2 linked regions of the Callithrix jacchus genome follow. The protein of the gene in region 1 interacts with the protein of each later gene in a pairwise test. Links are inferred from orthologs where the notes say so. Each region holds a gene or a part of one and is shown on either strand. Other genes may lie near its edges.

Region 1 (6,448 bases):
ATACTTTTATCTTCAACTCCTCCAAAGTACTTCACAATGAAAAAGTAAAATAGGGGCCGGTCACTGTGGCTCATGCCTATAATCTCAGCACTTTAGGAGGCCCAGGTGGGCAGATCACCTGAGGTCAGGAGTTCAAGACCAGACTGGCTAACATGGCAAAACCCTATCTCTACTAAAAAATATACAAAATTTAGCTGGGCATGGTGATATGCACCTGAAATCACAGCCACTTGGGAGGCTGGTGTCGGAGAATTGCTTGAACCTAGGAGGTGGGTATTGCAGTTAGCCGAGATTGTGCCACTACACTCCAGCCTGGATGACAAAGCAAGATGAAAGAGAGAAAGAGAGACAGAAGGAAGGAAGGAAGGGAGGGAGGGAGGGAGGGAGGGAGGGAGGCAGTGGGAGGGAAGCGGGAGGAAGAAAGGAGGAAGGAAAGAAGGAAGGAAGGAGAAATTCTCTGAAATCCAACTGCTTCTGGAGTGAAAGCAATAACTCACAAAAATACAAAGATACTAACAACTCTTAGGAGCTCAAGTCTATATAGTCCAACCGAAATGACTAAAACCCTGTGACATGAAAACGGAAGAGTTTTGGGAATATTTTCAAAAGATAAGGGTTTTAGATCAAAATTTCAGAGACTGAATGTTCTAACGTGATGTAGAATCAATTTCAGGAATGAAATGTCATGAAATAAAATTACTTAAGTCCATAAGAAACATTCTATATATACAATCAATAGGCTATCTGCTCTCACATAATGAATGCTTGGGTTTTGTTAAGGGTTTATTTGCTCATTATTTCAAAATATAGTTTAGTAGTTTTATATTCTCAAGGAGTTATTTCGGAAGCAGCAGAATATAGATTCCAATTTGCTACATCAGTTCTTTGCTTCACATAAGCACTGCTTTTATACAGATTGTAAAAGACACCAACAAAAACACTCCTCCTACCTCATAGTTATAGCAGGAGTGCCCTGGCTCTGTGCTGAAATCTGACAGTCATTCCCTCCAATTCCCACATTAATGGAAAATTCTAAAACCAAAATGTTAAGATGATTCAAGTTATTAAGTTAGTTTACATTTTGTACTATTTTTAAATGATCAAAATTACCAAGAAAACATAATTTAAAAAAATTGTAATCCTCAGAAGGCAAACTCAGCAAGCAAAAGCTAAAAAGAAATATTTGCATATATCAAATAAATGAACAGAACATTAACGGGGCAGTTACCTACATCTAAAGGAAAGAGAATCAAAAACTAGCATAAATGTGAACTGGAAATTAATGTGTCTATTTAGATAGTTTCATTTTAACTTGAACTCATAATAATCTATATGTATAAGAAAGATGGCTACATTTAAGATGTGGTAAAGATGAAATATAAAGACACAAACACTTGTTGCCAGTAAGTCTGTGTAATGAAATTATTCATAGTGAAATACACTGAAATATAAACAAGTCTTCTTAGGTTTGGCAGGTTTTCTTAATCCTTTGTGGAGCTACCTCATACAACCATTCAAATAACATTAGATTTATTCATTTTGCATACTATGTAATTTTTTTTTCTCTAAGAAAGGTATACTTTCTACTACTGAAGCCAATTTTTAAAATATTTTTTTAATGTAAGTGTGAAAAAAGAACAGATGTTTTTGCAAAATTATTTAAGCTTAGAAGGCATTCTATCATTTTCTTCAATAAAATGCTTCAGAGTCACCAAAAGCATCATGGCAATACCTTAAGTGCTTGAGTCCTTTAAAACATAAGTTATTATAAATAAATCAGTATCAGAATATACAGCATTATTTGATAGATAAAATGTGTATTATAATGAGATGCTGTAAATTATTTGCCATACTAGTTTTATTTTCCTCTGTGGACCTTTTTTGTTTTTCAATCTAGTTATTCTACAAGTCAAGTACAAAGAGGCTTTTAAACTTTCCGCACTATATAGTTGATTCCCTACTGCCTAGAATCTTGTAGATCTCTGATGGAATGTTTAACTGGAGTTATCAGCTGGCTTGATCATGCTTCACTATAAAACCTATTAAAATTGTCTTTTCATGAAAGCAGAGTTTGCTCTGTGTCCCTCCAAAGTCCTGCAGATATGAAAATGAGCTCCTATGGAATGTTCAAAGATGCAGAGAGCTGTCTTTGAGTTATTTTTTCATTATGCAAAACTTGGCCCAGGAGAGACGGTCATGTACCTCGTTAGCTAAAACAGGCAGGCATGTCAGGACTGCAAATTAATTTACAAGAGAAAGTTGAAGTAGATTCAGATCACTCAGGTTTCTAAGGCAGATCTAAGTCTGTTGAACTATTAGGGCAATTTGATAGGGTCGGAATCTCAGAAATGTTTATCCTTATTGTCTCTTTCCCACTCCCTCACAAAATGCAAACTCCTCCCAAAACTAAGCCTGCACGAGCAGCAAATGTTGCATGGGAATCAATACGTATAGGTATGACTCTTAAGTTTTCAAAAGTAATAATTGGTACATACTGTGATTCCCCCCAAAAAGATCCAATAAATAAAAATAGGGATAACTGAGTATTCACTTTCTCCTTATATTAACTTCCTGTGATTATGAAGTGAAGGGTTTCAAGGGAGCTTGCATTATTATGTAACAAGTGCCATCCACCCAATGTGAAGTCATTAGTAGTAAAGTAATCAGCAACATCCTTGGTTTTATCAATTATGTAATTATCTGTTAATTTAAAATGCCATTCATTTGGGTGCTCTCCTACATTCTCTGTTAACCTCATGTTCCTGCAGCTTTACTCTCCATGTGAACTCTGAGTTGAGTGTTGTATAACAAGTTTCATTGAATTTTTCCCATCTAAGTTATGAAGCCCACTGACAACAGAATTGCACAGTTCTCTAAAAGAATAGAACAATGCCAGAGTGGTTGCATTAGAAGCCAAGAGTAAGGCAAACAATGGGTCCACGTTGTAAATAAGATAAGTGTGCTTATCTGTCTCTGACCCTGGAAACAAACAACCACCTCTTGGGAGATGGAGATGCTCCATTGGTAACATTATGCACGTTCCTTAAGGAAAATAAGCAATCTTCTCCCTCATGTATTATGAAAAAATATTTCTTAAAAATCAACAGACTAGGCTTCCATTTATGGATTGTAAATGTCATCCAATTCAGGAAATCAAAAATTCTTCCCTTTCCTATACATATTTACTTCTGTTTCACACTTTGATGATGACAAGAACATCAGGTTTGAAGGCTACCAGCGTGAAGCGCCAGCAGGTAGAGAAATCCGGGAAAGCCACAAAAGCATAGAAAGTATGGGTGATATCAGACGCATTTCATTTCAAGTCTGACGAGCCTGCATTTAGGATTTTCCAGTCTGGCTTGCGGGGGCTTTTGGGAGACAGGGGGGCTTTTTATTTCTTCTCTCAGACTCATACACACGGTCGGACACACACCTGGGACGCGTTCAAACTCTACGTACACTAGGTGGCTTATACGAATGCATATGTATATATAAAAATAATACCGTGACATCTGACAAAGACAAGAAGGCAACGTATGTGCAGTGAGTCTGGCTCTAAGAAACGTGCACAGCCCCGCAAGAAGTGCCCGTTAAAATGAAACATTTCTGAGGATAAGGACAGACATGGCAAGCTGGAGGGGCGGGGGCCGACAGACAATACAGAGACCCGCAGCTCCCCACCGCCAGGGCGCCGCATGGATCCGGCGCGTCACCCCTGCTTACTGTGGGCTCTTGGGGTAGAAGGGCAGGGTCACATGGCTGAGATCCTGGATGTCGAATGCGGTGGGCTCGGCAGAGATTGCCTGCCGCTTGGTGCGCGGCTCGCCCTGCAAGGTGCTCGCGCTCTGCTTCTGCGCCTGCTGGGTGGCTGGTCGGATCACCGAGCGGTACTTGTCCAGCTCGTTCTGCAGCTTCTGGATCAGTTCGTCCTTCTGATCCAACTCCAGCTCCAGCTCGTCAATGAGAGCATCCCGCTGCCTCAGCTCCTCGATCTTCTCCTGGAGCGCATATTGTAAATCCCGCAGGGTGCCCATGCTCCTCCGGGCTGCCGGGGGCTCCTTCCTGCCGCTGCTCCGCGTCTTGGGGCTTCCTCCCCTCTCCGATCAACTTTCCCCAAAGTCGCCGCTGCCTCCCGAGTGCAAAAGCTTCCTACTTGAGACCAAAGCCAGCCCTGGCTTCTGAGCATGCCCAGTCCGCCTGCTCCAGCCACCCAGAGTTTCAGTGCGGATTCCACTTCTCTGCGCTGGCTGGGAGGCTGAGAGTGGGGATGAGCAAACCACCAGGACCAACCCGGGATTAAGCCTGACACGCGGTGGGCGCCGCGCGCGGCGCAGGGGAGAAGAGCTGGGGGGCGCGGTGGCGGGGAAGCGGGAGGAGGGGCTGTGAATGGGGGGCTCTGAGGCAGCGGCTGTACTGTCAGAGTCCCTCGCGCCGGGCGCCCGAGGAAGCCGCAGGGGCGTGCGGGGAGCCTGATAAGCCTCCAGGCGCGCCGGAGCTGTGCAGGCGGAGCGAGGCGGGAGCGCCACTTCGAGGGTGGGGAGGTGGGAGGGAGGGGACAGGGAGGACCCCGGGCAAACTCGGGAGGCGTCTTCTGGCTCCAGAGCAGATCAGCCTGGAGAAAGTGGGGCTCTGATCCTGGAGGCGTAAGAGGCAGAGCGGACTCTATCCTCAAAGCGCCGAGTTCTGGAGGTGTTTTAACGGCCGGCCTCACCAAGGAAAGCTCCCGAGCGAGCCGCGTGGCCAAGCTGTCGCTTCTTCCACGCCACCTTTCCCACCCGGAGCGCCTCACACAGGTGGCTAACGCTTGCGAAGAAACTTGGCTCTCAGACAGGCGAGCAAGTCAGCGCCCGAGAGGGATTCCCCCTTTCAGCCTACTGCCTTCGGGGAAGGGTTGTGGGGAAGGGGGTGTTCTGATTTTTACCCCCCAGGCGTTGCTACTCTTTGCCTATTCCCGATAGTTACTCTTTTTTCTGCCCCTTCCAAACTCCAATCACGGAACTGTTTTAGGGCAAAGGCAAAAACGGATTTGGGCCCTAGCAAGCCACTCAGCTTCTTCATCAGCCCTCCGCCTTGAGCTGGTGCCTGGGAATAGTTCACTGCTGGGCCTTGCTTCTTCCTTTTGCTGAATTTGGCGGGGGAGGGGCGGGGGGTTAAAAATCATTCTAGAGCTCCAAAAAGTTCATCCTGAAATTGAATCATACCTTCAAAAATATTACTTTCCTCACAACCAAGCTCTAGGAATGTATCTTTCCACTTAAATGGCCAGGATGACATCCTGACACAAACTTTGAAGAAGAGGGAAAATCGTGAAGGAGCGAGGGAGACTACATGGGCTCCAGTGAATTGTACACTATACCGCAGCCATCCTCCACCTCTACCCCCCCAACCCCACCTCTTCCCCCTCAATATTCCCCTGATCACAATTAGACAACTTATTTTCTATCCAAGTTTTACTCTCCCTTCATGGGAACACGTTTAGAATCCCCAAATATCTGCCTAATACGTACCTAAATTCCGAATATTTGCTTAAGATGTTACCAACTCATGCAATTTTATAGCGTCTTTATTGGCAGGCTTTTGATTACTATTCTTGGGCACTCAATATTATAATCCTCAATGCTTTATTTGGCCATTCCATAACACTAAAACAAAATGAATAGAGATAAAATTGGATTGCAATGCAATTCTAAACTTAGCAAAGAATACTATCAAAAAACTTGCACACTGTTGCTTTTGAATACACAACCTTTTGAATTTAAGCTAGAGACAGAGGAGGAATACAATGTATAGGAGGAAAGAAGGGAGGGAGGGAGGGAAGGAGGGAGATTAAGGCATGTTAATAAGCTTGCTCATTTAAAGTGTAGTTGTTTGTAATTAGATGACTAAATGACAAAAGATATAACAGTCTTTTATGTAGATTATGATTTAATAATTCTTAGTGCAGATGACATTAGACATTTCTTTTTTCTGCTTTCCAACATAGACTTTCAGAAGTGCATTTATTTCTAAATGTGACATATACAATGGATCATTCTCAAAACATTTGCATTTACAATGAAGAAATGAGTAACTTACAAATATTGAAAATAATAAATAATAGCTCTGAATTGTTTTAATTAAAAGTAAATCAAGCAGAAGTACTGTGACTTCGTATAACTCACTGTATTCTGAAAAAGCCTCTATGACAATTTCCTTCTTCCAGGCAAAAGGCCAAATTCTTTTTAACCTGTGGGAATTCTTTATTTTCATGAGAAAATGTTTAATGCAAAATGACTTTTTCCTATAAATCTATTATTGGGGTTCATGAGGCCATGAGTTTATGTCTAAAATATATCAGGTACAATGTATAGGGACATAATCAGACAACTGCTAAGCTGGGTTCAGAATTCTAGGCTTATCTCTTCCATTTTTAAAGTGAAAGCAAGTATTTTAAGGAAGTTTTTCAGTG
Region 2 (5,894 bases), about 49 Mb from region 1:
CATAGGAGTCAAGATCTCCTTGGAGCAGAGCAGGCAATAGTGTCGGTCTGTCTTGTGGGTATTGTGGTTCAAGAGGCCGCCAGACTGGCAGTAAATCTTGCCGCACTGGCTGCAAGAGAAAGAGTGGCTCCCTGGCTGCAGCTGAGAGCTGTTGTTCCAGCTATCCATATGACTCAGACTAGGTCCATTGAGCTGGCGGTCACCAGCATGGCAAGGACTCCTGGGAACACTGTCCTCTGGCTCCTCTGGCCTGGTGAGGAATTGCGGAACCCAGCCTCCACTGTGGTTCCCGAGTCCCCCACCTCCTGGGCACCCACCTGCCTTCTCTGTGCCCCAGGACAGTGACTCTGGGGCTTCTGAGCCTGCTGCCCTGAGGGGGCTCTGACTGCACTCCCCTGGTCTCGGGACTCCATCCTCCAGCTGGGGCACTGGCTCAGTACCACCCAACCGGGCCTCTAGTCCTGGGTCACCAGCCAGGCTCGCCTCACTGCCCACTGTGCCATCCGGGCCTCCCTGGGCATTGGCTGGCTCCCCTTCTTTCTCCTCCTCATGCTCCCGCAGGTGCCGCTCCAAAGATCCCCGGCCAGGGAAGCCACGGCCACAGAGGGCGCAACGCACAGCTGAGCGCCTGGACCGCCCCGCCCGCCGCCTCCGATTCTCTGAGTGCAGCCTCTGATGGTCCTTCAGAGCCATGCGGTTGGAGTAGGTCTTGGGGCAGGTGGGGCAGCTGTACTGGCCCGTCTCGTGGCTGCGCCGGTGGTTCAGGAGGCTGCCAGCATGGCGATAGGTCCGCCCACACTGCCCACAGCGGAAGGGCCGATCTTCTCGAGTCGGTTTTCGGGTGCCACCACCCCCACGCCGCTCCATGTGAACTCGCTGGTGGCTGGCCAGCTGTTTCCGCAGGCGGAAGGCCTTCCCACACTCACTGCAGCGGAAACGTCGGGGATCTGCATGGATACGCCGGTGGTTCTTGAGGGACATGAGGTTTGAGAAACCCTTGGAACAGGCCTGACAGCCAAAGTGGCCGGTCTGGTGGCTCTGCCGGTGGTTGATGAGGCTGCCAGCATGCTTGTAGGAACGGCCACACACCTCACAGCTGAAGGGCCGCTCAGAGCTGGCCTCAGTCTGACAGCCCTTCTCAGCAGTCTCTAGCCTGGGCTCTATCTCCTCCCCCTTCACAGTGGTCTCCTCCCACACCTCTTCTTTCACCCTCGCCACTTCCTCCAGGGGCTCCACTTTAAGTTCTTCCTGGAGCTTCTCTACTTCTGCCTGCCCCAGCTCCTCCTCTGCCATGTGCTGGGGCTCACTGCTACCTCCTGCCTCTGGGATGGGCCCAACCTGGGGCTCAGTGCTGCCTCCTGCCTCTGGGATGGACCCAACCTGGGGCTCAGAGCCTTTGCAGCGAGGGTGGTTCCGCAGATGATTACGGTAGGCAGCCAGGTTGGGGTAGCAGCGGGAGCAGACAGGGCAGAGAAAGTCTCCGGTCTGGTGGATCTTGCGGTGGTTCACCAGGCTGCCCCCATGGCGATAGGTCTTGCCACATTGGTTGCAGCGAAAGGGGCGGGGCTGAGCCTCCAGCAAATTTTCCCCACTCTGCATGCAAAGGCTGTCTCCCAAGGGGGTGCCTGCTCCCTCTTCAGACTTGGCATCTCCACCCTCTCCAGAGACAGAAGTCACTATGTCCCCCAAGACACTGTCCATGACCATCTCTGTGGCATCACCTGCTGTTCCCAAAGGGCTGGGAGCCTTGTCTACTGTAGTCCCAGAACTCTGACTTTGGTGGTGGCGCTCCAGGCTCCCCAGGTCATCGTAGGTCTGACCACAGCAGCCACAGATGTGCCCATACCCTGCACCGTCCAGCGCTTCCACCTCCCGCTGCAGTTGATTCAGCAGCTCTGCTTCCGAGAGCTGCAGTGGCGGGCTGCGGGCGGGGGCTGCCTCTGCCGCTCCTTCCTCTTCTCCCTCCTCCTCTGAGCCCTCAGTCATGCCAGAGGAGCTATGGGCCTGGCGCCGGTGAAGCCTGTAGCCAGCACGCCCAGGGAAGATCATGCCACAGAGGCAGCAGAGGAAAGGCTGTGCTGAGGTCGCCTCCCCCGGCCTGTGGTTCTGGAAATGGCTTCGGAGGGCAGGCAGAGAGTCAAACTCCTTTGGGCAGAGGGAGCACTGATAGATGCCGGGTGGGTGGCAGGGCCTGTGGCTCAGCAGGCCAGTGGCATGGGGGAAAGAATGCCCACAATCAGAGCATGTGTGAGCAGCCTCAGCCTCCCAGCCAGTGACAGCATCAGCAGAGTGGGAAGAGGAGTTGGGCTGACCAGTGGCTGGCTTCTGGTCTTCATCCACCATGGTGACATCATCGCAGAAGCGAGTCCCACCACCTTCCTCACCTCCTGGGATGTCCAAGTTGTCAAGGAAACTGGCATCCTTCCTTTCCAGCCCTTCCCCAGTGCCTCTGCTCTCTTTATCACCCTGGAAATGGGTCTCAGCCTCCTTCTCAAGCCCACATTTGTCCCCTTCAGATTCAGCTAGCAAACAATCCCCATCACTTTCCAGGATGCCTTCAGCCCCGTGAGAACTTTTCTCTAAAGGATCTTGGGGAGAGGCCAGGCCTTCATTGTCTTCCGGCTCCTGGATCCAGCTCCCTGCTGCCGGGAGTTTGGCTTCTCTTCCACCACTGGCACCGCCAGCCCGCTTCCGATGCCGCCGGCTCCGCCGCCGACTATGGCGGCGCAAGTGGTTCTTCATGGCTGCCATGGTATGGAAGTGCTTGGCACAGGCCCCGCAACTGAAGTCCCCTGTCTGGTGAGTCTGCCTGTGGTTGATAAGGCTGCCGGAGTGGCGATAGCTCTTTCCACAGTCTCGGCAGGCAAAAGCCCGAGGAGGCGACACCGTGGTCTCTGTCCTGCTATTTTCCTTTTCGCCTACCACATGAGTCAGGCCATGACGTTCAAGGCTCTCAGGGTCTTCAAAGAGTAGCCCACAGATGCTACAGATCTGTGCTGCTGTCCTGACTGCTGCTGGGGTGATATCTGTGGCCTCTTCTTCATGTTTGCACACGTCCCCCTGATCTGTGTGCAGAGCTGCCTCTGCCTCCACTGGGTCGGATGGGAGTTCCACCTTGAGGTGGCTGGGGGCACCCTTGGCCCCAGGGTCTGCACTTCGGCGAGCAGCCTTGCAATGTACTCGCACATGGTTGCGCAGGGCCATGAGATTGGGGTACTTGCGGGGACAGAGAGAACACTGGTACTCTCCAGTCCGATGGCTGTGGCGATGGTTCACCAGGCTCCCTCGGTGGCGGTAAGCACGACCACACTCACTGCACTTATAGGGCCGATGGTCCAGGGTGGTGGTGGGGTCCTCTTCCTCTTTGTGGGTGGCCTCGGCCAGCAGCTGGGGAGCTGGCGGCACTGATGGCTGCCCGTTTTCCCCAACTCCGTGCCGGGGCCTGTGATGAGCCCGCACGTGGTTTTTGAGGGCAGCCGCATTGAATAGCTGCTTAGAACAGAGTGAGCAGGGATAGACACCCGTCTGGTGGCTCTTTCGATGGTTGATGAGGCTCCCAGCATGGCGGTAAGTACGGCCACAGTCCCCACAGCGGAAAGGCCGGTATTCCTCCAGGCCATTGTCCTCCAGCTCCCCAGAGGTACTGAGCTCTGCAGAGCCATTCAGCATCTGTGCACTGGGCAGCTGGTCCTGGCTGCTCTCGTCTGTGTGCCCATTGGTGGTGAGCATCCCTTTCTCCTCCCAGGGTGGCTCCTGCCTTTCACCCTCATGGGACTGCTGGTGTTCCAGCAGCTCACGGGGGAGCCGGAAGGCACGGGGGCAGTGGGGACAATGGTAAGGCCGATACTGGGCATGGAGTCTAGAGTGGTTCTTCAGAGCCATGAGGTTCGAGAACTCCTTAAAGCAGATGGCACAGGGGTAGATGCCCAGCGTGTGGCTCTGGCGGTGGTTGGTGAGGCTCCCGGCGTGCTTGTAGGTCTTGCCACACTGACTACACTTGTACCGCCGCTCCTCCTCCGCAGGAGGGGACTGGCTAGGCTCTTGGCCCCCTGTGAAGTTCACTACTGATTCAGCCAGATACTGTTCCAAGTTGCTAAGGAGGCTGCTGGCTGGGGTGGGGAGGGGAGGGGCCCTGGCAGAGTTGGTAGAGGGCCCCCAGCCGTCTGTACCATCCTCAGGACCTGGCTGGCCTGCCCAGCCTTCTCTTTGTCTGGTGGGTAGATCTTCCCGAGTACCTGAAGCTGCCCTGGGATCAGGTACAGATTCACAGTCAGGTGTCTCTTCGGTATGTTTTGTCTGGTTTTCCCAGCCTTCACCAGAGCCAAGCCTTTGGCCCCAAGTGTCAGTGGACACCATCTCACGCTGGAGGCGTGGAGTGGCTTCCTTGGAGCGTGTGGGCCTGTGCCTGCGGCGACCCTCAGGAGCATGAGTCCTCATGTGGCTCTTGAGAGCCATGGGATTGGTGAAGTCCTTGCCACAGGTGGTACAGGGGAAAAGGCCAGTCTCATGGGTCCGACGATGGTTGACCAGGCTCCCAGGGTGACGGTAGCCCCGCCCACACTGCTGACAGCGGTAGGGCCGAGGGATGCTGTCAGCCTCCTCACAGTCCTGGTTGGGAGATGGATGGAGCAGTTCTCGGTGCCGTGACAGCTCTGCGAGGCTGGGAAAGTGGCGATGACAGTCCGAACAGCTGAGTGAGGGGGGTGCGTCCTCCATAGGGCAACGTGGCAGAAACCTGGAGGTTCAGAAGGAGTAGACAGGTGGCAGCACCTTCCTCTGGTGGAGGGGCCGAGGCCTAGGAAGAGGGGGCAGTAGTCAAAAGGAGGGCCTGAATTAACTTTGTTTCTTGGTTCTACTAGTAACAAGTTTACCTGAGGTCACCAAGAGGTTCCCCAAGCATCCATGCCCAGGAATCTGCTTCTACTAGATCCCATCTGCACCCTCATTTAAGGCCTCCCTGTGCACAAGCCCCTTAAATATAGGAGCTCCCCTACGCTTAAGTTATCCCTACAGGTATAGCGAAGGAAATTAAAGTTGAGAGGGATGCAACCTACTTCTGATCACAGACCTATTATCACGTTCTTCAGACCAGACTCAAAAGGCATTACTTGTCCTTTAACCCTCTGCTCCCTACAATCCTTAGACAAAAACTTTGTGACATCTTAAAAGAACACCAGAACCTTCTCTAAGCCTTTCAATAAGAGAAGTCCAAACCTTCCTCCTTCAAATCTCAGCTAAACAGAGTAGTCGAGAAGCGCTGAAAAAGCAGCTTCTTTCCTCCAGTTAACAACTGAGGACCTGAGAGGAGAGGTTAGAGGCCTCCTTCAGGAACAAGGCTGGCTTGTTCGCCCACTTCCCTGAGTCCTTTCGGTGTCACTAGGTCTCTTTTCCAAAAGACTCTCTTAGCTGGGCCAGGCATGGTGGCTCACGCCTATAATCACAGCACTTTGGGAGGCCAACGCAGGCAGATCACCTGAGGTCAGGAGTTAGAGACCAGCCTGCCCAACATGCTGAAACCCTGTCCCGACGAAAAATACAAAAATTACCCAGGCATGGTGGTGGGAGCCTGTAATCCTAGCTACTCTGGATGAGGTTGGAGAATTGCTTGAACCTGGGAGGCAGACGTTGCAGTGAGCTGAAATCAAGCCACTGCACTCCAGCCTGGGCGACAAAGCAAAACTCCATCTCAAAAAAGAAAAACCAAAAAAACCCCAAAGACTCTCTTAGCTACTTCCTTTATCTACTGTCCTTGAACCCAACTATCTTCCATTTGGGGAATAACGTCAATATGAGGTTGGAATGTCACTTCATCGCATCCCTTTTCTTTCCCATGCCTCCTGATCTTAACCTCACCAGTCTTTCTCATTTTTATCTTATGCCTCCTCTCTCAATAC

Evidence for each region.
Region 2: the proteins of PRKG1 (region 1) and ZNF646 interact in binary tests that used the Homo sapiens proteins (3 or more experiments, as listed by UniProt). The two-hybrid records come from large-scale screens. The link is inferred for Callithrix jacchus from reciprocal best matches to the Homo sapiens genes PRKG1 and ZNF646.

Annotation. Positions count from the first base shown.
Region 1 is NC_133513.1:79,219,433-79,225,880, forward strand, and holds the start of PRKG1 (cGMP-dependent protein kinase 1), read right to left. Parts: upstream 4,139-6,448; 5' UTR 4,035-4,138; coding exon 3,724-4,034; intron 1-3,723. UniProt on the Homo sapiens protein: Serine/threonine protein kinase that acts as a key mediator of the nitric oxide (NO)/cGMP signaling pathway. GMP binding activates PRKG1, which phosphorylates serines and threonines on many cellular proteins.
Region 2 is NC_133513.1:30,602,101-30,607,994, reverse strand, and holds part of ZNF646 (zinc finger protein 646), read right to left. Parts: intron 4,796-5,894; 5' UTR 4,717-4,795; coding exon 1-4,716. UniProt on the Homo sapiens protein: May be involved in transcriptional regulation.